Lepisosteus oculatus: one gene and its partners. The protein of the gene in region 1 interacts with the protein of each later gene in a pairwise test. Links are inferred from orthologs where the notes say so. Each region holds a gene or a part of one and is shown in the gene's direction. Other genes may lie near its edges.

Region 1 (7,244 bases):
CTCCCCGCCACCGCCACCGGCCGAGGCCGCTCTCCTGCCCTGGGCCCCCGTGCGCGCCGCCGCTCGCACAGGGGCGCGCGGCCTGCTCCGTATGCAGAAGATCAATGATATTTCAAAAAGGCGAACGCAAAAGGGCTTTGATTAGCTCATTTCCTTCTGGCGTTTTCATAAAGCGGAGCTACGGGCTCTGTTTGCTCTTTTTTTTGTGCGTTTCTTGATTTTTTTTTCTCTCCTTCTCATTTATTTTCCGAGTCCCTGCCGCCGCATACAGTACAGGGCTCCATTCCTCTTTGTCTCTCTCCCTCCCACACGCCCGGACGTGCGGTTTCTATTTCTGCCCATTCCGGATGCCGGGCTAATGGGTTCCTTGAGGAATAGTTGCAGTCTGTGGGTGGGCGAGATCAACTGGAGCTCATGCTTGTATACCGGGAGATGGTGGGGGGGGGGGGAGCGGCTCGATACGGGGGCGGGAGGATGTGCGTCAGCTACCCAGAGAGCGAGAGAGACCGAGAGAGAGAGAGGGCGTGAACGGCGGAGGGGAAAATGGATTAGTGGGAGCAGGAAAGGACGAGAGAGAAAGAGAGGGAAGGAGCTGTTACCTCCTAGAGCCCCTGCCAGCCTGGTCAAGGCCCAGTGGTGTGTAAATAATCCTGGGAAAAACAGGGAGACGGATCCCCTTAGCACGACAACTCCATGTCTAGCCCCACCAACCTACGCCATTGCTGCTCTTTGTTGTAACCAACTCCTCCGATACAATATTGACTCCTCTGATTATCAGTTACGCAGCAGGTTGTGGCAGAACTGTGCACTGGAGCAGCCTGGAAGGGCTACAGAAGGTGTAGCTCTGGCCTACAGGAAGACGAGACCCAAGCAATCAAATTGCACTGGGGCCTTGTGACCATCCTCAGTACTGCAGACCTGAACCAATGTTGTATGACAGGCTAAGGCTGCCTGGATCTGCTGTGCTACCACCGCAGGAGCCACAGAGCACAACTGGCAACCAGTAGCTCACACTGGCCAAGTCACCACAGCATATTCCTGCATTGCAGCGCTGTCAGTCTAACGGACCGCACACATGCAAGGTTACAATCAAGAGGTCGTTCGGCTCAGCTGGCCCGTTTGGTAGTTAGTAGCTAATTGGTCCAGGGATCTCCCTGGTGGTCTAGTGGTTAGGATTTGGTGCTCTCCTTGCTGCGGACTGGGTTCGATTCCCGGTCACAGAAGCGTGTCTTTTAAGCCAGCAGCCATATCACCCTGCAGCTCACAACTGGCAGACCACTGAAGGTCAGCAGGTGTGAGCCTGGCCAGTACCTGATTAGGGGACATCTAGGGAAAAGCTAAGGTTGCTGCTGGAAGAGCTATTAGAGGGGCCAGTAGGGGGCGCTCATCCCGAGGTCTGTGTGGGTCCTAATGCTCCAGTATAGTGACGGGGATGCTATACTGTGAAAAGGTACTGTCCTTTGGATGAGACGTAAAACCGAGGTCCTGACTCTCTTTGGTCATTAAAATCCCAGAGCGTTTCTCGAAAAGAGTAGGGGTGTTACCCCAGTGTCCTGGCCAAATTTCCCATTGGCCTTTACCAATCATGGCCTCCTTAAATCCCCATCTCTGAACTGACGTCATCACTCTGTTCTCCTCCTCACTGATAGCTGATGTGTGGTGAGGGTACAGGTTCACTATTATTATACAGGTTCATTATTATTATTCACCAACCATTCCTTGAAAGAAGCCAGGGTCTCATCAACTTGGTTGAGCAGCCTGTACCACACTCCCACCACCCTTTGTGTAAAGGGTCTTAAATGTACCCCAGTGTAGGTGCACTTTTGTTTCCACCGCCTGAAAAAGGATAAAACCGAACAGCCTGGCAAGGCTCGTGGGGAGTTTTTTCCCCTTTTTACTGCTTGTCATTTCCTGGTATTTGCCTTGGGCTTGCTTCATCACTATCCCTTGCACTCAGCGTGACTTTGCTGGGCTGAGTTTCTCCCAGGCTCGGCGCCTTGCTGAGGCGGACTGGTGGTCGTCGCTCCCAGCAGGGAAAGGGGCCCTTGCTTTCGGGCTGCGCCAGTGGCCAGGCCGCCCCCTGCAACCAGAGGAAGGACGTGCAGGCATCTCCGGCTCCCCCACAGACGAGCCGATTGTGCCCCAGAGGACAATGAGTCTGCTGTCCCGGCAGAGGTGCTGAACAAGCCCTGCAGTGTGAGGCTGCCCCCACATGCCCCTGGGGCTGCCTGCGCATCCCAGCCAGAGGGGCCGGGAGCAGTCCAAACGAGCCTGAGTGGCCTCATTGTGTGATACGTATTGTCCCCCGAAATCTCTGCACTGGGACCTGCTCCTAGTCCGGGCTGCATTAAGGGGAAGCCGGAGCGAATTTCGTATTGCTCAGTACTCTGAAGCCCATTCGCAGAGGGGAACATCAGACCCTGAAAACTGCCCCCTTGTTCTTGCTCCTATAATACGACTGCTTGCTATCCGTTCCTACGGTGTCTCTCCAGAACGGATCCCTGCATGGCCCGATCAAGAAATCATGGTTAGGTCGCCTACTTTGCCCAGACATGTGAGGCTTGTCCCAGCTTCACTACCCCATCGCAGCCCGGCTGTGGAAGCAGTCTTCCTTCATCACAGTTTCAAACACGTAATCTGGCTTTTCAGCTGAAAAAGATGACAAATAGACATTGCAAGGAGGCAAGATACAAAAGACAGAAAAACATCCTCGGTCTTTACTGGATTCCTCCTAGTTACTCTTTTCAATCTTATGCACCAAGACAGCCCCTGCCTGTGCACCTCCTTGCACAAAGGCGCTCGTGCACGATCTTCTTAGGAACGGGGGTCTCAGACACAGCTCCCTGAGTGCCTAGTGTCTGCCTGGCATTCGCCGGAGTCATGAAACCGTTTGCCCGATTATTGTCTTTGTTGTACATGCGCAGGAGTTTTTGTCTTTGCCAGGTCTTTTATAGTTGATGACAACTCACTGCAAAACCCGGCTCAGCCTGTCTAGAAGGCAGTTAATTAACTAACGAGACCAGCTGGTAAGTCTGGGTGGGAAAAAAAAACAAACAGATACCAGTCCCCCTCCAGGGGGCTGTGTTCAAGACCTCGCCGTTAGAAAAGTCCAGTATTTCAGCAAATTCCACCCATTATAATTAAGACGATTGTATACCTGGCTCAGGAAATGGAGCCGATACAGGAATTATGGGATCTCCTGGGATTATGGGATCTCATCCCGAGTGGGACATTTGCCCATCACACAAGGAGACAACAACTGAGACAACAACTACCCCACCAGCATGTCTCCAGAATCTGAGAGGAAACTAGACACCTAAGAGAAAACTCACACAGACACAGCGGAACATGCAAACTTCACACAGACGGTTCCTCAGGTCGGAATCGAACCCGTTGCGCCGGCTTATATAATGAGATGTTGATATTTTGTAATGCTGGTGCTGCGAATTGACAGAAAAAAAAACATCTTAATTGTTTAATTGCTTTTAATAGGATCCACACAGTGACGCATAACGGCCTGTTGTGTAACGTCAGGGGATAAAAGAGAAGGTGGGCGATTTGCAGACGCCTTCGCTATTCACCCACTTGGACCTGCTGTCCTTCTCAAGCAACGTCATGGCGAAAACAGGAAACGAGACTGTGTTCGTTCTAGGGTGAGAAAGTCCCAAGCTAACGAAAGCCGGGTGTTCCACTGGTGCGATCACACAAGCAACCCAGCCGACCAACTACGTACACCGCGGCGGAGGTATGGGCACGCCAGACGCAGGCAGCCTGACAAGAAAACGCTGCTCTTGCATATCATACCGGCTGCAGTCGAGCGGAGAGTTTTCGAACGGTTTTATGTGAGCTGAGAATTACATCACTGGGGAATCCCCCCTTGTCAACTGCGTCACGCTTCGGATCCGTCGAACCCAGTCGGAAGTGGCCCACGCGCCTCCCCCGGACAGCCACACGCTGGCACGCTCACACACAGCCCGCTCCCGCAGAGCCGCGGTGCTGCTGATGGAGTTTTTCTGCTGTTCGTCATAAAACAAGACACACATCTATCATGTACCTTGTTTTACCAGTTTGCCAAGGTGTTTGTTGAATTATTCTAACCCAATAATAATAATAATAATAATAATAATAATAATAATAATAATACCGATGTTCACAAACGCACTCGAAACACTGTGGTTACGTAGTTCTTCACTCCTAAGCGCTATGGAGTGTGAAGTGGAGACAGCGAGACGTAGCTCTTCTGATGACAAGGAGCGAAGCTCTTTTAATACCCCGAATTTCACAGACTCCAGATGCACAACCCAAGTCATAAGAAGCAATAGATGTGTTTTACTCCCATAGATCTACAGGACTGGAGCCTTTTCGGCTGTGGGAACGGATGGTGGGTTATTATTATTATTATTATTATTATTATTATTATTATTATTATTATTGGTGATGGTGGTAATATTAATTGCATTGCTGATGTTTAATTAGCTTCTCTTGCTTTTAAGTTGCGTCATTTTTTCAGAACTTTTTTGTTCAATCAGAGGCTTGTTACTGTGTTACGGCTACTGCCGAAATGACCCGGGCGCCGTGCAGGCGGAGGGCGATGCGGACAGGGGCTGTCGCTGGGGCTCCGTGCAGAAGTCGCGGCAGTGCACTTGTGCGTGCACGACTGAGCCCGCCAGCGGCAACGCCGCTCTGTGGCGCTGGGGAGGTGTTGAAATCGACGGCAGCGGCGTGATGGGATTTGTCGACAGATCTCCGCGCCTTACTGCGTGATCCGCAGCAGTCTTTGAGCACTTGCACGGTTTGGAACGGCCTCGACACAGGGGGTGTGACTGGGTCGTTCAGGTCTCTTCAGGAGAAGAAACCCGCACTGTAGAGTTAGACGCACACACCAGACCGAAAGGAAGTTTGTAGGTGGCCGGGACCTCTCTCGCCGCAGTTGTGTTGTTGTTGGTTTTTTTTTTTAAAGAAAGGGTTAAAATGATAAAAGCTAGCATGTGAATCCCCCCACCACCCTATCCCCCCCAACTTCCACACCCCCACCCTGAAAGCCGCCTCTCTACCCGGGAGAGGAAAGCTCTTTTTCGGTCAGATGGCGCGCTGCAGTCCGCCCCCGGGTCTCTCTCACCCACACACCCTGCAAAACACTGTCTTTAACAATGCGGTCCGCCGAGAGAGGACAGTAGCCAGAGAAAACAGGCAGCCCGCAGGACAACAAAGTATCGGCAAGAGCAGAAATTAAGGGGGGAACAATAAATATTATCATAAGATAAGAAACAGGGAGAATAGGGGGGTACAAAAACCAGGCGGGCATGTTGGACCAAAGTTTCTAGAAGTTCTGCCTAAACGTTTCGATTCCTGTCTGCGCCGGGGCGGTTGAGGGGTGAACAGGGAGCAGACCAAAGCCGAGGCAGAAGACGGAGCACAACTCACCCATCGGGACTTAAGGGAGAGCAGGGGAGGGCAACGGGGGAAACTCTCCGTTTTCTCTCACTTATTTCCCCCTACACACGCTCCTCTCCCTGCGCGGTGTTTTTTTTTTGCCTTTTCCAATTCAGCGTCGGAACAGCGACGAGCGCGAAAGCGTGAGCGGGACAGCCGCGCTCCGCAGCGAGGCGAGCCGGGCAGCTGGCTGGGCGTTCCCGCCGGGAGCCGAGCCGAGGAGCGCGCCCGCGGGGCACCGTCTCTACGTGATCGCAGCCGACCGGGCGGATCCCAGAGAGGTAGGGCGATCGTCTTTGCTTACCCGGTGACCTCGGAAGGAGCGGGTGCCACAGCCGGCTGCCTTCGTGCAATTTTGGGGTGCGAGTGATCCCGTACGGCTGCGGGTGGCAACTTCTGAAACTGTAACTATTGTGAAACGTTCTGCGTCAGGGCTAGAGCAAGACACACCGGCGTAAACCCCTCTTCACAGATGCCGTTCAGCACTTACATGATCTTTCCCACCCCCAGCTTGTGCGCTTATTATTACGTTTGCAGCTGTCCGCCCGTTCGCAGATCCGCGGAATCGCGACGTTTGCGAGTCGCCGGTGTTTCAGCCGCTGTAGGCAACCATTCTGACTGCCTCCCTCCCCCCGCGAGCAGGTTGTGTTTCTGAACATACTATCCTGATCGTGTTTCCCAAGTCCTGTGCTTCGCCGCTCCTCCAGATAAGTCGCTTTTGTATTCAGACCCTTGTAAATCAAACTTTTGCTGACCGCTGTTTTCCGTCAACAGCTGCAGAAAACAGAATTCTGTACTTTCGGGGGATCTAGAAATCAGAAATTGCGAGCTGTGCTCCACGTCATACGGTACCTTTGGTATTTTTCTATCTAAACCCGCTGTCCCCCGAAGAGCGCGCACGCAGTACGCAACGATGTATTGTCGAGAGGACGAGGTTACTGTCGCAAGTAAGAAGCCCCATGGGCGCATCACAGCCAGGGGGCTCGGTGATTAGGAATATCCTGATAGCGGATCGGTTGGGTTGTTCTATTGCTCCGTGGCGAGGTACTGCCGGCCACCGTGGGCACGGCGCACCTTCTCCCGAGAAAGCGTCTCTTCTCCGAGCCAATAGACCGACGTCTCGCCAGACAGTGACCCCGATAAACCTTTATCTGCTAGAGGCGCCAAATGTCATCTCTTCTGCCTGTCTGGTCTTTCTGTGTCGGACGTGGCTGTGTCTTATCAGCATTCTTAAAAACGTGGGAAACGCAAGCATGCACTGTGTTAGATATCAGGATATCGAGGTGTTTTTGAAGAGTTGTCCCTCAACCGCTGCTGCCTTTGATATTCTCAGATTGCTCTGCTGGCGTGTTCAGTATTTAGTTTGCAGACAAGTGAGGTTCTATGCGTTTCGCTTTTCTGATTCTTTTTACTACTGTCTGCTACTGTGACAGCAGCTTAGGAAAACAAGCGGGCTGTGGCAGTGGAGTCGGCGAAGCACAAAGACGGCGTGGTTAATGGGATTTAGCTCCACGCACTTTACCCGATCTGTTTACTGGGATAAATACACGCCGCACCCCGAGTCAGTTCAGACCAGCTTCTAGCAAAATCCGAAATGGATCAAAGTGATGTGCAGTGGGAGTCTAGTGTTTCTCTGAGTAATAAACATAGTGGCAGCAACACCGCTAACAGCAATAGTGGTACTAATATGGACTTTCGGTTGTGATTGCTTCCACATGCACACGGTGCAGTCAGAACAAAGGCAGTGCCCGATCAGTGATGGTGCAGTTCTAGGTGGCTTGCATGAGTTGGGCTTGGTCACGGACCAGCGA
Region 2 (7,851 bases), on another chromosome or scaffold:
CCAGAATAACCACCTTGCTTTTAGGAGAGACTGGCCTGTGTGAAACAGACGTCGATGCTAAGAAACAAGCTCGGAAGCGATCCTAATCAATCTGTTAGAATTTATTGTTCCTTACAGTGCTGGGGCCACAATAAATCCCCTCAGAAAACTCAAGTTTCTTGGAAAAATCAAAGTAATGACTGTAGCAGATGCCAGGCATGGTGAATATTATCCCATATGTCAGAGGCAAAGGATTAAATCTTCCTACTATAATCTGAAGCACTGAAAAAATTGACTTTACAATTGCATTTCTAATTATACTTTTTAATATTTGAAGGTGATATTCACTTTAGAACTTTCCTTAAGCATCTGTAAAAAGTTTACTCAAAAGCTTAAACATTCAGCAGCTATTTAAAAGGCGAGGTATAAAGGTACTCTCAGGGAGCAGTGAGTGTGTGTTCTCCGTTGGCGTACAGTATATTGTTGTATCATATATTTTTTGGAGGGGAGATACTTTCCGTAAGACTCTTGTACCTTTCTTCAATCCAAACAAATCTAAAGCACATTCAAGTTTTCATAATTCCTGGAAACTGTAACTCAGGCTTAGGTCTGATGGTTATAATGGCTGCCCTTTTACCATTTTTGCTATGTTTTCAATCACACTGTGCAGATGTATTGGCCATTTAATTCTGTATTTCATTTCCCATTAAATATGATTTTAGGGCTTACTTTACCCTAGTAACCAGTAGCACTGAAATTTCTTTTTCTGAAACCATCGTGGAATATTGAGCCTTATAACACTTACAGTCCTTATTTATAAGAGTGCAAAAACTATTGTCTGCATATTGACATACACTGTAGGTATGTAATGATTACTTTGAATCATATTTTTATTACTTTATTACTGGTGATGTTTGATAGTCATCAGGAGAAACAGGCATACAATTTTCAGTTTCACCTGCATCTGTTGGTATGCTTTTCTTTTCTGTAATGATCATATTGTCACTGCAAAATAAGCACCTACTGTACATGCTTCTTTTTAAGCTGACCTGCAAAACTAATTTAGATTAATGAAGTTAAGTAAGCTTTCACACTTGATATCCATAAATTCAGGCAAGTATCATACAGTCTGGAAAGGTGATCCATTATTGTTCACTGAGCAGCGACTCCTGGGCAGCTCTGTGGAAAAGCCTGCATTGTTCTTGGCCAGACAGGAAGGAAGAGACCCTGTGATCGTGGTTGTGCTGAGCTGAGGGAAATAGGCTGTTGAGTGGTAACGGTCTCGAGCAAAACTCAAGATGATTTACCACTTGGACTACAATGCTAATTTACTCTTTTTTTTCTTCTCATCTTACCGTCTTACAAGTATTCTTTGTAGTTGTTTGTAGACCTCAAAACAGCAAGTTGTAACAGCGGCAGGTTTATTGGATCAGAGGGAATAGATACTACTGTATATGCTTTCCATGACATCATAGGAGGATGACTAATGGGACTTGAAACACATGACATAATGTAAATATAGAGGAATTTAGTTCCATACTTGGTTTTGAATGTAAGAACCCTAAATCTTTTAAAGTTGAAGCTAATTAAAAACACAATGTTCATAACATATTATAATTAATAAGAAAATGAAAGAGAAAGTTCAACTGAAATTCCTTTTAGGCCATGGGTTTGGCAATTTAAGTAGAGTAGAGTAGTAGAGTTTTTCCTACATCTCCTTTAACAGAACCTAATTACGTTTGGGAAGCTGCTGCTAAGACTTAAAAAATTATTTAAAAACCTGAATTACAGTATCATTAGTGCAATCTGCTGGAAATATCTTACTCAAAGGTGTTCTGAAAATCAAGAAACATAGTAAGCCCAGTAACAGAACCTAATAAAGAGCTGGACATACTTTCACTGTTCAATTCTTTTGTGATAATGTTTTTTCTGATGCTCTTGCATCCATCCATTTCTAACCACTTCTCCACACACAGACACAAACACATACATTCACAACAGGGCATATTTTTCCCACAAGCCAGTTGACATACCAGTATGTTTTTGGACTCTGGGAAGAAACCGGGGAGCCAGGTGGAAACACATTGAAAACATAAACCTTCCATGCATATAGCACCCCAGGAATGGAACCCAGGGGCCCAGTTCTGTGAGGACACAATTCTAAGCACTGTGCCACTGTGCTGCCTGTTGCTTTTTCAGATAAAACAAAAAAAGCATTAAAGACATTCCTAGGTATCAATTACAGCTGTCACTGGCAGGATTAAAGGAGAAAAAAGCACATTTTTAAAACATGAAATGTATTATCTCTGTTGCAGGGGCTGGGACCGAATACTCGCCAAAGTTGAAAGATCTGTAGCTTTGGTTTCCCATTAATCATATAATTAAAATATTAATTTAATTATATGCCGCCTTCACACTGCCTTTAATTGAGTTTTTCCAGACACATACATATTATTATAAAATAATCTTATTTTCAATCTTCATGGGCTGTCTTAAACTCCAAGGGCATTTATTACACACATTTGTAATGGATCAGAACCTTTGGGAGGCCATTAGTTTATTGTGTATACTGGAGAACAAGAAAAAGTTGCGAAGGTGGAGTCATAAGACTTGTACTACTTTGGCATGGTGAGTCAGGCTGTGCAGCAAACATCAGTGAACATCAGTGAATGGTTTGCTTTCCAAGGAGCCCACACATTTGTTGTGAAATTATTGGTTTCTGAACTCAGCCTAGCCAAATGTGCAGTGCATATATATACCCTACGCATGCTGTTGCTTCTAGTTTTTAAAAATCAAAATGATGCTAGCTGACCTTTACTGTTGTTGTCTCTGTTGTCGCTTATTACTGACAGCCTGCAGACAATCTTAAGGGGGGAAAATGATTCTCATGTCCCACTAAATTGCCAGTCTCCGACAGTGTGGGAACCTATTTAAGTTTATTTAAATAGTGCACTGTGGAGACACTTCAGTACGGGGATGTGCATTTAAAACTGAAAATGGAAAGCACTTTTTTATAGTGCTGTGGATGCCTGAAACTCCGGCTGTGTTGTCGAAGCCAATATCCTGTTTAATACCCTGGGTTCTTTCACAAAATGGATGGATGACATCCTCTGGTCAATTAGCCACTGAATCCTAGATAAGATGGATGGGACGAATGGCCTCCACTTGTAAATGTCCTGGAGGTGAACAGCTTTTATTGTTGAACATTGAAAACATTTTTTCACAATGAAAATTATTATAAATTGTCACCACTTACTACTTACTAGTTACTAGAGTTATTATACATACTCTAGGTACGTTGACATGAGGTACATGTATGGTTAGTATGTATTGTGTATTGTCATTATAACCTTTGAACAATATACATAAAGAGCTAAATAGACTGTAAACATTTTTCACAGTGCTATCTATATATGATTATATAACAGTTGAACAGAAACCAAATGTGTGTAATTTTAGATACCCCGCCGACCCAGCACTATCGAAACCAGAAACCATAGCATCATATGCTATACGTATAAATACGTTATGCTGTTTTTCCATCCTGCAAATCAATTACACAGCCCTAATAACTGTATCGCATTCAGCAGTCCTAAAAGCTTGAGGTTTCGACTCAAGCTTTTAGTGAATAATGACTTAATCGTTTCCCACAGTTACTGTAAAATTAAAATAAACTAAAATAAAGAACCCAAGCATTTAGCATTTTGCTGTTTCTTAGAATGCTGAATGCGTCTCTCTCTATTTATTCTATTATAAATACTTCAATGTATTATTGTTGCTGGTGATGGCGGTGGTTTGAATTGTAATTTGTGAAAGAGAATGGCAGCTGTGGAACCTTGTGAAGACAAACACCACTTACCTGGTCGATGTGCGCCCCCTGGCGTGCGATACTTGTTTCAGCAGCAAAAGCCTTGTAAAAAATTATAAACAAACATGGCGGTCGACCGGTGGGAGTGAAAGAAACGTCTGTGCATCTTAACGGCGAGGATTTTTAACTGCAATTTCCCAGTATGATTTCATATTTCTTGTATATGACACACCTATATGGGTATATGAACACAACAGGATTGGCTGTAAAAATGATTTTTACACTTGAAAACTTCAAGGAGCTTCGTAAAGGGCAGTTAGATTCTTACTGAGTGCCTGCGTGTTGACATCAGGTTCTGTAGGTAGAAGTACTTTACTTTGTTGTATTAACAATATTGAAAATATTAGCTCTGCGTTTTGGGCATGTGATTTAGCAAGAACTCACTGACATTTCGGTTTGAAGTTAGAAACTACTATTTTCAGTTGTAGCACTCTTTAACTCTGAAATGAGACGCCCGCTGTCATTCTTCAGTAGGACAGATTTTATTAATTTAAACGTACATACTGTACAGTATGCAGCACGCTAGTGTGAATTTAAGATCTGCATGTAGGGGATTTACCTACCGTGTTGTAACTACAGTTTTCGATATAAAATACAAAGCAAGAATTATGATGTTACTACAACAAAATGCATGAAAAATTATATTTATGTTCATCTAACGAAAAAAAAATCAAAATGTATTTATGCACAACAACCTCAAATTGCTGTACAACAGTATATAAAACAGAAACCAAAAGAAACCCAAACATGCACCCCATGTTTTTCAAAGGGGTTAAACGCTTCTCCACAACTGTATTTGGGTCCAGATCAAGGGTGGATTAATTTTTAAACACTGAAATTGCTAGTTTACTGCATGTTTAAACTAAATTATTCCATATTTGAAAGTGTTGATTTTGTTAATTCTGAGATTTTGGGTATATATAAAATAGGAATAAATATCATACTTACTGCTGCTGATTACAGATTTTGTGATATGCTTCCATAGATTGGCCTGATGATGGACACACAGGGAATCATTTGTCATACCCGTCAAATTGAAAAACGTCTCCATGAACAGAACCATCAAGATATTATGCTCTTATTAGAGGAATTAGAAATGGCTCACATTACATTAGAACAACTTCAGCAAACAGATATTGCAAAAGTTGTTTATCGGGTCTGTAAAACCTGCCAAGGGACTTTGGTGAAGAAAAAAGCGAAGGTTTTACTGTCAAAATGGAAGAAGCTGTTTACCAATCCTTGGTGCAAAGCATCCTATCACCTTGCAGGAAAAGGCCCTGATGAGAAAAACAGTACTCGAGGGCCACACACAGAGAAAAACCCATCCTGTTGCCAGTCAGAAATAAATGAGACTCACTGTTCACAGTGCGGTCAGTTGGAAGGAAACGAGAGCTTTATCAGTGAGAAAGACAAAGCTAAAGAGACTAATGAGGCAACACAACATAATTTATTCCACTGTGTGGCCAGCAGAGGGGAGGTACTGAAAGAAGATGAGTTTGGTTCAGCAATAAGCAAAAATGAAAACAAAAGTGATCTTTCTAGATTGGAAAACAACGGAAACACCCCAGCAGTTAGATCCCAGCCTGGCACAGTGGAGAACGCTGGACATGATACTTCAGGGGTGACTCTGGAAAAGGTACAGCCTAGCAAGATACCTCTTAGGTCCAAATGTATACAGCTGCTCTTTCAAGCCCTTATTCCTGAGGGAGCTGAGCACACAGAGTCCGCAGGGAACTGTCAGGAAGTTGCCTGTGCGATTGAGGAGCACGTTTTTATCCTCCATGGGAAAAACGAAAGAAAGTACAAGTCTTTCATTAGAAGTAAAGTTTCTAACTTAAGGAACCCTAAGACCCCTCACTGGCGTCAAAACCTGCTGGGTGGACAGCTGAGCCCTAAGGTGTTTTCTGAGATGTCCGTGATGGAACTGGCAAGTGATGAGCTAAAGCAGATGAGGTCAGCGTACATAGAATCTGCCATTAATGAACACCAGCTTCCCCAAGGCGTGGGCGGGACCCAGACAGATAAAATAAAGTGCCGGCGATGTGAGAGGTTTGACTGCACTGTGACACTCATTTCCAGGGGTACCCTCTTCCTTCCTAGTTGGGTACGCAACGGAACCCCAGATGAGCAGATGATGACTTTTGTCATCTGTAACAAATGTGGTGAGAAATGGTATAACAGTGGATGGATTTGTTTATAGTAACTGGTGCAACCGGTTCGAACAGTACATGTTAATCATGGGTTGAAGGTTTGCATTTCTGGTACAGCTCGGCTCTCTCCGTGGCACTATAAGACAGTTGTGATGATGAGGATCTTTAAGTCATTGTGAAAATGTTGTTCTTTTTTTTCCCCCAAAGTGCCTCACATTTGTACTGGTTTGTGCAGTTACATTTTTGTGTGTGGATTTTTTGTGATAAGCTACTGTGTGTCTCGTTTTTATGTTATTTTTTGTGTTTGGTATTTTTGACTCTGTATTTTGGCCAGAGATTGAATGAAATTTTCAGAATTTGTTGAAGTGAACTGGAAGAACACTTATTAAATTAAAATAGCTATGCAGTGATTGAAGATAATATCTCAGCAGTTTCTGTTCATTTTTATTATAGATGAATAAAAAAGGCCATCCTTTGTCACTCTCATTTGCAGAACACAGTATGTGTCAGCAAGTACAGCTATAAGATATGCCATGGACTGTATTTTAATCATATTTTAGGAAACTTGTCTTTTCAAGATAAGCACATTACATAAAACAGAACCTCGAAGAAGCTGAAAGTGCCTAAACAGTTGATAATTTAACAGACTAAATCTTGATCCAGAGCTGCATTACTATAAATATAGATAATAGAAAAAGTGTGCAGAGTAATCAATTTAACTGCACTTAGATCATATGGTCTTTACTCATACATGTGACTTTGTTCAAAAATGCTCTGCATGTGACTTTTTTCATGTCGTAGAAACTTCAGGAACCCTACTGCATGGTACAACTCCTTAGCCTGTCAGAGTTATAATTTAAGTAATGGCTGAATGCTATTCATTTGTATTTCAAAGCAGATTAATACTATATTCTTGTCAAGCTTTATCAACGTGAGATATATGATTTAAAATCATCTATGCCCAGTAATACCTAATAAGTCATTTTATGTGTGTATGCTTTGGTTTTAAATTTCTAACTGTATTCCTTCTATTAATGTCACACCTGAAGAAAGCTACTCCGTCAAAATGTTGTATCTGTTCCTTTCAGTATGGAACAAACCTTTACCTGTTCTATTAAATTCATTGTGCCAATTTCAGTAGACATCTAATTACAGTATATACTGTATAATGCATTTTTGAAACAATTTGTGTTTAAAGTACACCCTGTTAATTCATTCCAGGGTTTCTTTTTTAGATTGTGAGAACTTTTCATCAGGAAATTTCCATAACCCATCATAATTGGTCATAAAAAGTGGTGCTACATGAGTTTTCCAATGTTTATAGATTATCTTTCTGTTTTGAAATCATAACAATGCTACTTAGAAATTTGGGGTATGCTCCAAAACTAATTAGTTGGCCTGACAATATTACATTTTAACTCTCTTCTTGCTTTGGAATAAATAATAAAATACTTTGAGAATTCACTAAGGTTACACAATTACAAAGTGTGAGCTAGAAAAATCTCTTTTAAAACCACTAATGGCAACTTTTTTGTACTTTAGCATAATATTGAGTTTTGTTTTTGCACTTTAGCATAATATTTTGTTGTGTGCACTTGTTAAACTATAAATTAATCCCTTAACTGTTCTCGAAAAAGAAAGGTCTCTGACGTTTCTATAGCATTCTACGACCTGGATTTTTCATTCTCAGGTTTTGTTTTTACCTTTTCTTTGCATTTTCTTGCTCAGTGATATTTTCAAAAATATATAGTTCTTTAATGAGCTATGTTTGCAGTTCAGTCTTCAGTTAGGTCACTTTTGTGGAATTATATTTAATATTCAATTATAGGTAACAATGTTAAGTTATGTCTTCAA
Region 3 (8,043 bases), on another chromosome or scaffold:
GCGGCGCGGCCGGCGCAGCAGGGGCAGCGGCTCCGCGCGGCCCGCGTGCAGGAAGCAGAACTCGCCGTCGAAGTGGGACAGGACCCAGGAGTGGGCGTTGTAGCCCAGCCGGGCCCCGTTCCCCGGGCCCTTGCGCTCCAGGCTGCCGTAGCTCACCCCCACCTTGAAGGCGGCGCTGCGCCCCACCTCCAGCAGCCAGCGGTGCGTCCCCGAGGAGAAGCTGCGGCCGCACAGCGCGTTGGGCCAGCGGTCGAAGCGCAGCGGGCTGTACTGCTGGGGCTGGCGCGCGCGCCTGGGCAGGAAAGTCAGGGTTCGGCCGTCGTCCGAGAGGGACAGCAGGGGGCTGACCGTCCGCTCGTCAAAGCTCAGGGGCTCAGGGTCTGCGGAGGAGAGAGGGGGGGGACAGGAGCTGACTCCTTCTGCACTCCAGGCTTTTCCAGCAGCTGCTACTGGTCAGACTGGTATTTGCACAGACCAGCACACAGTAACACTGAAAACACATCTGAAGTCTCCTGCATGGATTGTACAAGAGCCTGCAACTGGGAAAATCCGGACAGGATCAGAATGCTACACAGGGATACACTTTTAAATAATAATAATTCCTTACACTTATCTAGTGCTTTTCCGGACACTCCATTCAGTCCGTTCCCCACACACCAGCTCTCAGTGGGGAGGAGAGCAGAGTGATGGAGCCAGTTCAGAGAGGGGGGTTATTAGGAGGCCATGATCGGTGAAGGTCAGGGGGGAAATCTGTGGCCAGGACACTGAGATTAACACCCTTACTGTATTCGAGAAACACCCTGGGATTGTTAATGATCACAGAGAGTCAGGACCTTGGTTTGACATCCTTTTCTACAGTACAGTGTCCCCGTCACTAAACTGGGGCATTAGGACCCACACAGACCGCAGGGTGAGCGCCCCCCACTGGCCCCACTCACACCTCTGCCGATTGTGCACACAGACAACTCACCGCACTGACCAGAGCGACACAGCAGCACGGCATTCGCCCACAGGTTCAAAAGCAACGAGCTCTGGCTGCTCCTGGGGTTAAAGGTCAAGTGTTCGGAGTCCTGGGGCTCCCCCACCCCCTCTGCCACCTCCACCCTGCGAGAGAAGAAGGGAGCGGGGGTGACTGGCGGGCCTGGGGTGTTTTCGGAGCTGCCGTTAGCCCTGGGGGCCAGAGCCGCTCACCTGTCCGAGATCTCCTGGGAGCAGTCCTGTTGAAGAGAGCAGAACGGGTGAGGATTGGGAGAATGAGCGCGAGCCCGCCTGTCCCTGACCTTTGACCCGGCCCCCAGGCTCACCAGCAGCTGCCGGTCCTCGGTCTCCGTCAGCAGGCGCACCAGCTGGGCCCGCACGGCGGACAGCGAGCCGAGGGCCTGCGCCCAGTGCGCCCGCTGGGTGAGCAGGCTGTGCTGCACCCGCTCCTCCTCGCGCTGCACCGCCTCCAGGAGGCGCTGCTCCTCCTCGTCACAGGCCTCGCGCACGGCCGCCAGCCGCCGCAGCACCGCGTCCCGCGCGCGGCTGGCCCCGCCCTGGGACACACACACACACACACGACACGGGGTCAGGGAGCGGCGGTCAGGGTCCGGAGGTGTGGGTCCGCCGGTCAGGGTCTGTAGGTCAGTGTCTGGAGGTCAGGGTCCAGCAGTCAGGGTCTGGAGGTCAGTGTCCGGTAGTCAGGGTCTGATAGTCAGGGTCCGGTGGTCAGGGTCTGGTGGTCAGGGTCCAGCAGTCAGGGTCTGGAGGTCAGGGTCCGGTAGTCAGGGTCTGATAGTCAGGGTCTGGAGGTCAGTGTCCGGTAGTCAGGGTCCAGCAGGAGGGCAGAGCACACGACTGCACTGCTATGTGTCTGCTCCTGGGTTCTGACCCAGGTGGGCCGGTGCTGACCTGCAGGTCCAGCTCATGGGGCGGCAGCACATTGTTCACAAAGCGCTCGATCCGCAGGGCCTTCAGCTGCAGCTTCTCACACGTGTCCACCAGCTGGTTCTGAGACAGGAGGTGACAGGAGACTGAGACCCTGAGACACACTGAGGGACACTGAAACACTGAGACACACTGAGGACACTGAGGGACACTGAGAGACCCTGGGACACTGAGGACACTGAGACACACTGAGGACACTGAGATACACTGTGAGACCCTGAAACACTGAGACACACTGAGGACACTGAGACACACTGAGAGACCCTGAAACACTGAGACACACTGAGGACACTGAGGGACACTGAGAGACCCTGAAACACTGAGACACACTGAGGACACTGAGGGACACTGAGAGACCCTGAGACACTGAGGGACACTGAGGACACTGAGATACACTGTGAGACCCTGAAACACTGAGACACACTGAGGACACTGAGACACACTGAGAGACCCTGAAACACTGAGAGACCCTGAGACACTGAGGGACACTGAGGACACTGAGACACACTGAGGACACTGAGACACACTGAGAGACCCTGAGACACTGAGGGACACTTTGAGACCAGGAGCGTAACTGAGAGGTAATTATTCTTATAATAAATATTCCTATAATTAAAAGCAACTCTAACACCAGAATTCCTGCCAGTATCAGAAGAGCCTCCAGTCCTACTGGGAGTAAACTCATCAGCCCAGTGTGTGATCTCCTGTTCCAGCTGGAGCAACAGACAGTGAGTCTGTCTCACAGTGGTGTTTTACGTGATTATTGTCCAATAATATCCGCGTCTGTAAATGTTGTGTTAATTGTATCTGCATTGGCAGCACTGTCCTGCCAATAACGCACCGAGGCGCAGATAGTGCCCGCCCGCAGTCCTCCCCCACTCTCGGCACTGTTTCACGGCGCTTCCCCGTCACGCTGCGCCGTCAGGTGACTCTCATCGCGACACGGGGAGTCTCCCTCACAGCCCCGGCAACCGGCCCCGCAGGACAGGCTGGGGCAGCGCAGGGGCTCTGTTCTGACCGACAGGTCGACTCTGTTTACTCACAGCCTTCCTGCAGCAGGGCGGTGTCACAAAGACATGGCCATGCCCGTCACTGCTGAGAGAGCTACTGTAGCTGCTATTGTCCCGAGTTTGTAACCCGCTGTTTCTGGCTGCCTGGCAGCAGCGCCCTCCGGAACTCACCCGGACCGCACCAGCTCTCTGGGCCAGCTCCGGCCCCTGCTCTGCACCCCGCCGGCCCGGCTCGCCTTCCCTCGCTCCTGCCCCCTTGAGCGCCGGCTCCCCCGCCCGGTCTGGGCTCCTGGTGCCGGTTTCGGCGGCTCCGATCTTGACGCCGTTGGCCCCGTTCAGGCGGGTGGCGGCGGACGGAGCGCCAGCTGTCGGCGTGCTGGGCCCCGGGTGTCTGTGGGCGCTGTCCCCCGCCGGGGTGCCGCTGTCCAACGGGGACACGGCCGTCAGCGGGCCGCCCCTCGCCTCTGCGGTGCTCATTGCGCCCCAGCCGGGTGCCCCCTTGTTTCTGTCTGATATCTGCGGAAACCCGCCCGGCTCCGCCACAGGAGCGCGACAGGTGTGTGCCGGAGAGAGAGCGAGCAGTTACCTGTGACAGGTGAGAGGAAGCACCGACACGGAAGTGCAGGTAAAGGTCAGCGCGGCACTGGGAGCCAGTGGAGAAGAGGAGGAGGGGGGTCTCCAGACCTCAGACCCGATGCTCGCCAGTGCTCGCTCGTCTTTCCTCTCGCCCTGACTCCCTCTGAAGCCGTTCAACGGCACTGCGCGTTTTAAGCCACATGGAGCTCCTTCCAGCCAGTACCGCACTTGCACTGCGCTTTGTGAAACAGGAAACACAACCTTCCATGTCGCAATGATCCCGGAGGAAGGTAGGTCTGAGCCACAGCCCAGGCAGGCTGAAGGGCTGAAGACACGGCGCTCAGGGGCAGAGCAGTCGCGCACACTGTGCATTCCTCTCCACACACCCAGCGGGGCGCCCGGCGCTGCGTGAGAGCAGTCCTGGTAAATCATCAATTCTCTCTCCCTGGACTTTCCCCCCTTTCGGTGCACTGCACCGGGAGTCGTACTTTCTGCCTGTCTCGGCAAGACATTTACACGCGTGGATTTCCCACATCCACGCAGACTCAACCCCTTGGGCGAACAGTAAGCTCTCTCACGGTGCAACCGCCTGTAATTCTCCCGCTCGCCACCAGAAGACGCTTCACTCGGACCCGGTGTAATCTGGGTCACGTTCTGGACTCCTTGTGCGAGTTTTCACTTCGCTGTGAGGCTCTGGTGCGGGCAGTCCGCGCTGTCCATCTCCTTTCCCGTGACGGCCGTCGGGTCTACTGCACTTTCACTTCGGAAACTGTTGTCTGTGTTGTAGCTCTTGATGCCGATGCAATGAATCGAATAAATGAATCTCGATCACTTGAACGATCGGGTACAGAGAGGTTCACCGCGTGCTTACTCGTGACCTGCCAGACACCTCAGTCTTAACGTCTCACCCATCAGAGTCGGGCGTCTCTCTGGGTGAAAGCCTGAGACACGAGAGAAATCGTGCTGCCGTGCACGACACACGCCGCCGGGGGGCGCTAGACCTCTTACTCCTGCCTTGCCAGTGCCTTAAATGTCCTTTAATAAACGTCCCCTGGATCACAAAGACCACTCTAACAGCAGGATGTGATTGACATTTATTACAAGCCCATTCACATATTCTCCTGTCACGTGTTTATTGCAACAGCCCATGCGATACCGAACTGGTTTCTGCTTCGAGCTCTCGGGCGTGCTGGATCACGTGGATGCGTGACCGCCCAGCTCCTTCCGCCTGGGCCACGCTGTGTAGTTTCGCGCGAAATCAACGTCAAAGCAGCCTGGTAACGGAACGCGATTACGTCAGGGGGAAGGGATGCGGGGGGGGGGAGATAGGCCTAGGAAATCCCGCCCTCCGATTGGTCACTTCGATCGAACAGCCTGACGTCACAAGGGGTTCGTCAGTGCCTAGGAATGACAAATGGGTAAAAAAAAGACAACCTGGCCGTGCGCGGGCTCTGATTGGCCAGGCGCTCCTTCCTTCCTGCTCTGATTGGCCGGAGCCGAGGCGCTCTCTACCCTGGCGGCCCCTCCCCCCCGCACCCCTCCTCCCGCCTGCCTTTCCGTCTCCGCTGCTGGAGCCAGCGAGCTGAGCGGCGGCGAGTCCAGCAGGCTTTGCCCGGGATCCGGACTGGACCGGGGTGGCGGGGCGCCCTGACGAGCTGCACCTCTGCGAGCATCACCTCTGCCAGCTTCCGCCTCGCTGTCTGGGAGCCCGGAGCGGGCGCGCCTCCTCCTGCCCCATGTCGGATTTCAAGCTGGGGATCGTGCGGCTGGGCCGTGTGGCCGGGAAGGTGAGCCATGTGTGTCAGAGAGGTGGGGGCGGCCGGCCGGCCGTCGCAGTTTGCAACAGCCCCGGAGAGCGGCGTAGGGCAGCCGTGGCGGCAGAGAGGGGGGGTATTTGTGCCGGTTTTCCCTGAAACGCCGCGTTCTCCTAACGTGGCGAGGTACCGGGACTATAGTGGTCGCTGGCGCACACCAGGAACCTCTCGGCAACGTGACACAAGCCGGCATGTTGCGGGCCCTGCGAGTCCGGCTGGGCTTTAAACGCCGCGACTCCAGCGAGACAAACGCGTCTGAAATCCTCTCGCCCCTCTCTCCCCTCTCCCTCTCGGCCCCCGGGCGTGCCCGCAGCCCGGCCGCCTCGCCGCTGCAGGGCTGGACGCGGTGTGGCGTGCGAGGCGGGGCGCCGGTCGCTAGAGGGCCGCCGGCGGGGGACGGGAGAGGGAGGCGAGACCGGGCACATGCGGCCAGCGGCCTGCTGCCCGCCGGCTGGCGGCTTGGCGCTCCACTCGGTGTTTCTGCGCCGGTGTAGGTGCGGGCCGGAGCGGGACAGGCAGCTCAGCCCTGCTTCTCTGGCGCATGCAGGTGCGTTTAACCCCGGCTTGTTGGTGCTCCCTGGCAGGGACCTCCCGCACCCTGTGCAGACGTGTCCTGTAAAGGCCCGAGTGGAGACTCCAGGGAAGTCAGCTGGCGACATAGAGCAGGGGGGTCCTTCTGTACACAAAGGGTGGTAGGAGTGTTGAACAGGCTTCCTAGCCTTGCTGGTGAAGCTGCTTTCAGTTCAGGGCTTTCAGGATCCTCGAAGTAACTATCTACTGGCAACCAGTAGGGGCGGCATCCCTGTTGTCTCGTGATGGTAAGAACGTGTGTGGTTCAGCAGATGGTTTATTTGGGGTGACTGAGAGAGACGGGGAGCTGACTGTGCCCCAGCTGAGCCGTGGTCCATCTCTGGGCCTCTCGGGCAGCTCTGAGGATGGGCAGCGGAGCCCCTGTGCTTGCGGTGTGGTGCAGGGAGGTAGGTATTTGGGACATTCCCCCCGGCCATGGGGGGTGTCGGGTGTCCAGAGGGCATGCTGGTGCCGTCAGGCTGCAGACTGTCCTCCAGCATGGTGCACTGGGATGAGCGGAAGCCCAGCTGAGGTCTCGACGAGGGCCGGTCCCGATTGCTGATGGTGTGTTCTCGGTCTCTCCCCTCCACAGACGAAGTACACTCTGATTGACGAGCAGGACATCCCCCTGGTGGAGAACTATGCCTTCGAGGTGAGAGCGGGGCGCTGTGCCCATGCGGGCAGTGGGGGGGGCGTGTCCGAGAGCCCCGTCTGACCTCCTCCTCTCCCTCCTCTCGCGCAGGCGCGGATGGAGGTGGACGCCGACGGGAACGGGGCGAAGATCTTCGCCTACGCCTTCGACATCAACAAGGGGCGCTGGGCGGGCAGGCCGCTGCACGAGCTGCTCTGGTGAGGACAGCCGCCCCTCGGCCTGCGCGGGGTCTGGGGGCGCCCTTGTGTCCGAGCGGCTCGCACGTCCGTCTCCGACACTTACTGTGCAGCTGCGGAAGAAGACCTGTGGCGGATGAGGCCGCGCTCTCTGCGCCTTCTCGTTGCTTCTGGCCTTGAGCCCGACCAGTGGCAGGGTGCCTCCTGAAGAGCTCGAGGCGCTTCTCCTGGTCCGCGTGTGCGTTGCAGGCATTCTGCTGTTGCACAGGAGTGAAGTGGAGGAAGTAAGATATTGGTCAGGACACAGAAAGCTACAGGAAGCAGCGCTGAGCGAGGTTTTGCTGTGATGTGTGCGTCTGTCTTCTGCAAGTGTGCAGGTTCATGCCAGGTGTCCACGCGCTGGCCTGTCTGCTGGCGTCCTCAGTCTTGTCCGCTGTCATCTGAGGGCCCGTCTCAGTTTGTCCTCCGTCTGCTCACAGGGAGAAGCACCGCGGGGGCATCGCTCCATGTTTCCAGGTCGTCCACATCAACTCCGTGACCGTGGACAACCGGCTGGACAACCTGCGTCTTGTCCCCTTGGGCTGGACCCCCAAACCCGAGGAGCTGTCCAGCAAGCAGAGGTACGAAACGCTGCCCGATCTGTTTATGGTGCTCGGCGTCTGTGGCCATGGCTCTGGGCTTCTGTCCAGCTGGTCAGTCCTGATGCTGGCCGCACAATCAGCAGTCTGGCTTCAGGGCTGGGGGTTTGTAGGTCAGTAAAAGTGTCTGAGTGTCTCTTCAGGCATGTGTCTCCCCGTCTCGGGGGTTTGTCTGCGTCTCTGGAGTCCCGGCACAGGTGTCTGACTAGGTCTGTGTGTCTCTGCCCAGGGAGCAGTCCCTGTACTGGCTGGCCATCCAGCAGGTGCCGGCAGACCCTGTGGAGGAGCAGTACCTGGAGCTGAGCCGCACGCGCTACTACAACGCCAACGGCGAGCTGGTGGAGGAGGAGGAGTGCTCCTGCACCTACTATGAGTGTCACTACCCACCCTGCTCGCTCATCGAGAGGAGGGTGAGTGTTGTACTGTCTGATGACGCGTCGTGCCTCTTCGCTGGTGAGCGAACACAAACACCAGAGCTGTTTAAGAACAGGAAGGTGTATTGTAAATGCCTCCGTTCAGGGAAGGAGTGACCTTCACCAGCCACACCTTGAAGGCTCTTGTCTCTTAAGGCTTTATCTCCCTCCTCTGTCCCTCCAGCTCCGAGAGTTCAATATCTGTGGGCGGTGCCAGGTGGCGCGGTACTGCGGCTCACAGTGCCAGCAGAGGGACTGGCCTGCGCAC

The links. The genes of interacting proteins can lie anywhere in the genome.
Region 2: the proteins of nab2 (region 1) and transcription elongation factor A N-terminal and central domain-containing protein interact in binary tests that used the Homo sapiens proteins (3 or more experiments, as listed by UniProt). The two-hybrid records come from large-scale screens. The link is inferred for Lepisosteus oculatus from reciprocal best matches to the Homo sapiens genes NAB2 and TCEANC.
Region 3: the proteins of nab2 (region 1) and zmynd19 interact in binary tests that used the Homo sapiens proteins (3 or more experiments, as listed by UniProt). The two-hybrid records come from large-scale screens. The link is inferred for Lepisosteus oculatus from reciprocal best matches to the Homo sapiens genes NAB2 and ZMYND19.

The regions. Positions count from the first base shown.
Region 1 is NC_090696.1:15,543,356-15,550,599, forward strand, and holds the start of nab2 (NGFI-A-binding protein 2), read left to right. Parts: upstream 1-4,168; 5' UTR 4,169-4,378; coding exon 4,379-4,381; intron 4,382-5,549; coding exon 5,550-5,714; intron 5,715-6,084; exon of another isoform or gene 6,085-7,148; coding exon of another isoform or gene 7,149-7,244. UniProt on the Homo sapiens protein: Acts as a transcriptional repressor for zinc finger transcription factors EGR1 and EGR2. Isoform 2 lacks repression ability.
Region 2 is NC_090708.1:21,959,061-21,966,911, forward strand, and holds the start of transcription elongation factor A N-terminal and central domain-containing protein, read left to right. Parts: upstream 1-4,841; coding exon 4,842-6,047; 3' UTR 6,048-7,851.
Region 3 is NC_090719.1:406,599-414,641, forward strand, and holds the start of zmynd19 (zinc finger MYND domain-containing protein 19), read left to right. Parts: upstream 1-5,033; 5' UTR 5,034-5,248; coding exon 5,249-5,299; intron 5,300-6,488; coding exon 6,489-6,548; intron 6,549-6,638; coding exon 6,639-6,745; intron 6,746-7,203; coding exon 7,204-7,344; intron 7,345-7,591; coding exon 7,592-7,772; intron 7,773-7,959; coding exon 7,960-8,043. Other genes in the region: bspry (B box and SPRY domain-containing protein), read right to left, coding at 1-380, 971-1,104, 1,192-1,217, 1,305-1,535, 1,891-1,989, 3,108-3,413. UniProt on the Homo sapiens protein: May be involved as a regulatory molecule in GPR24/MCH-R1 signaling.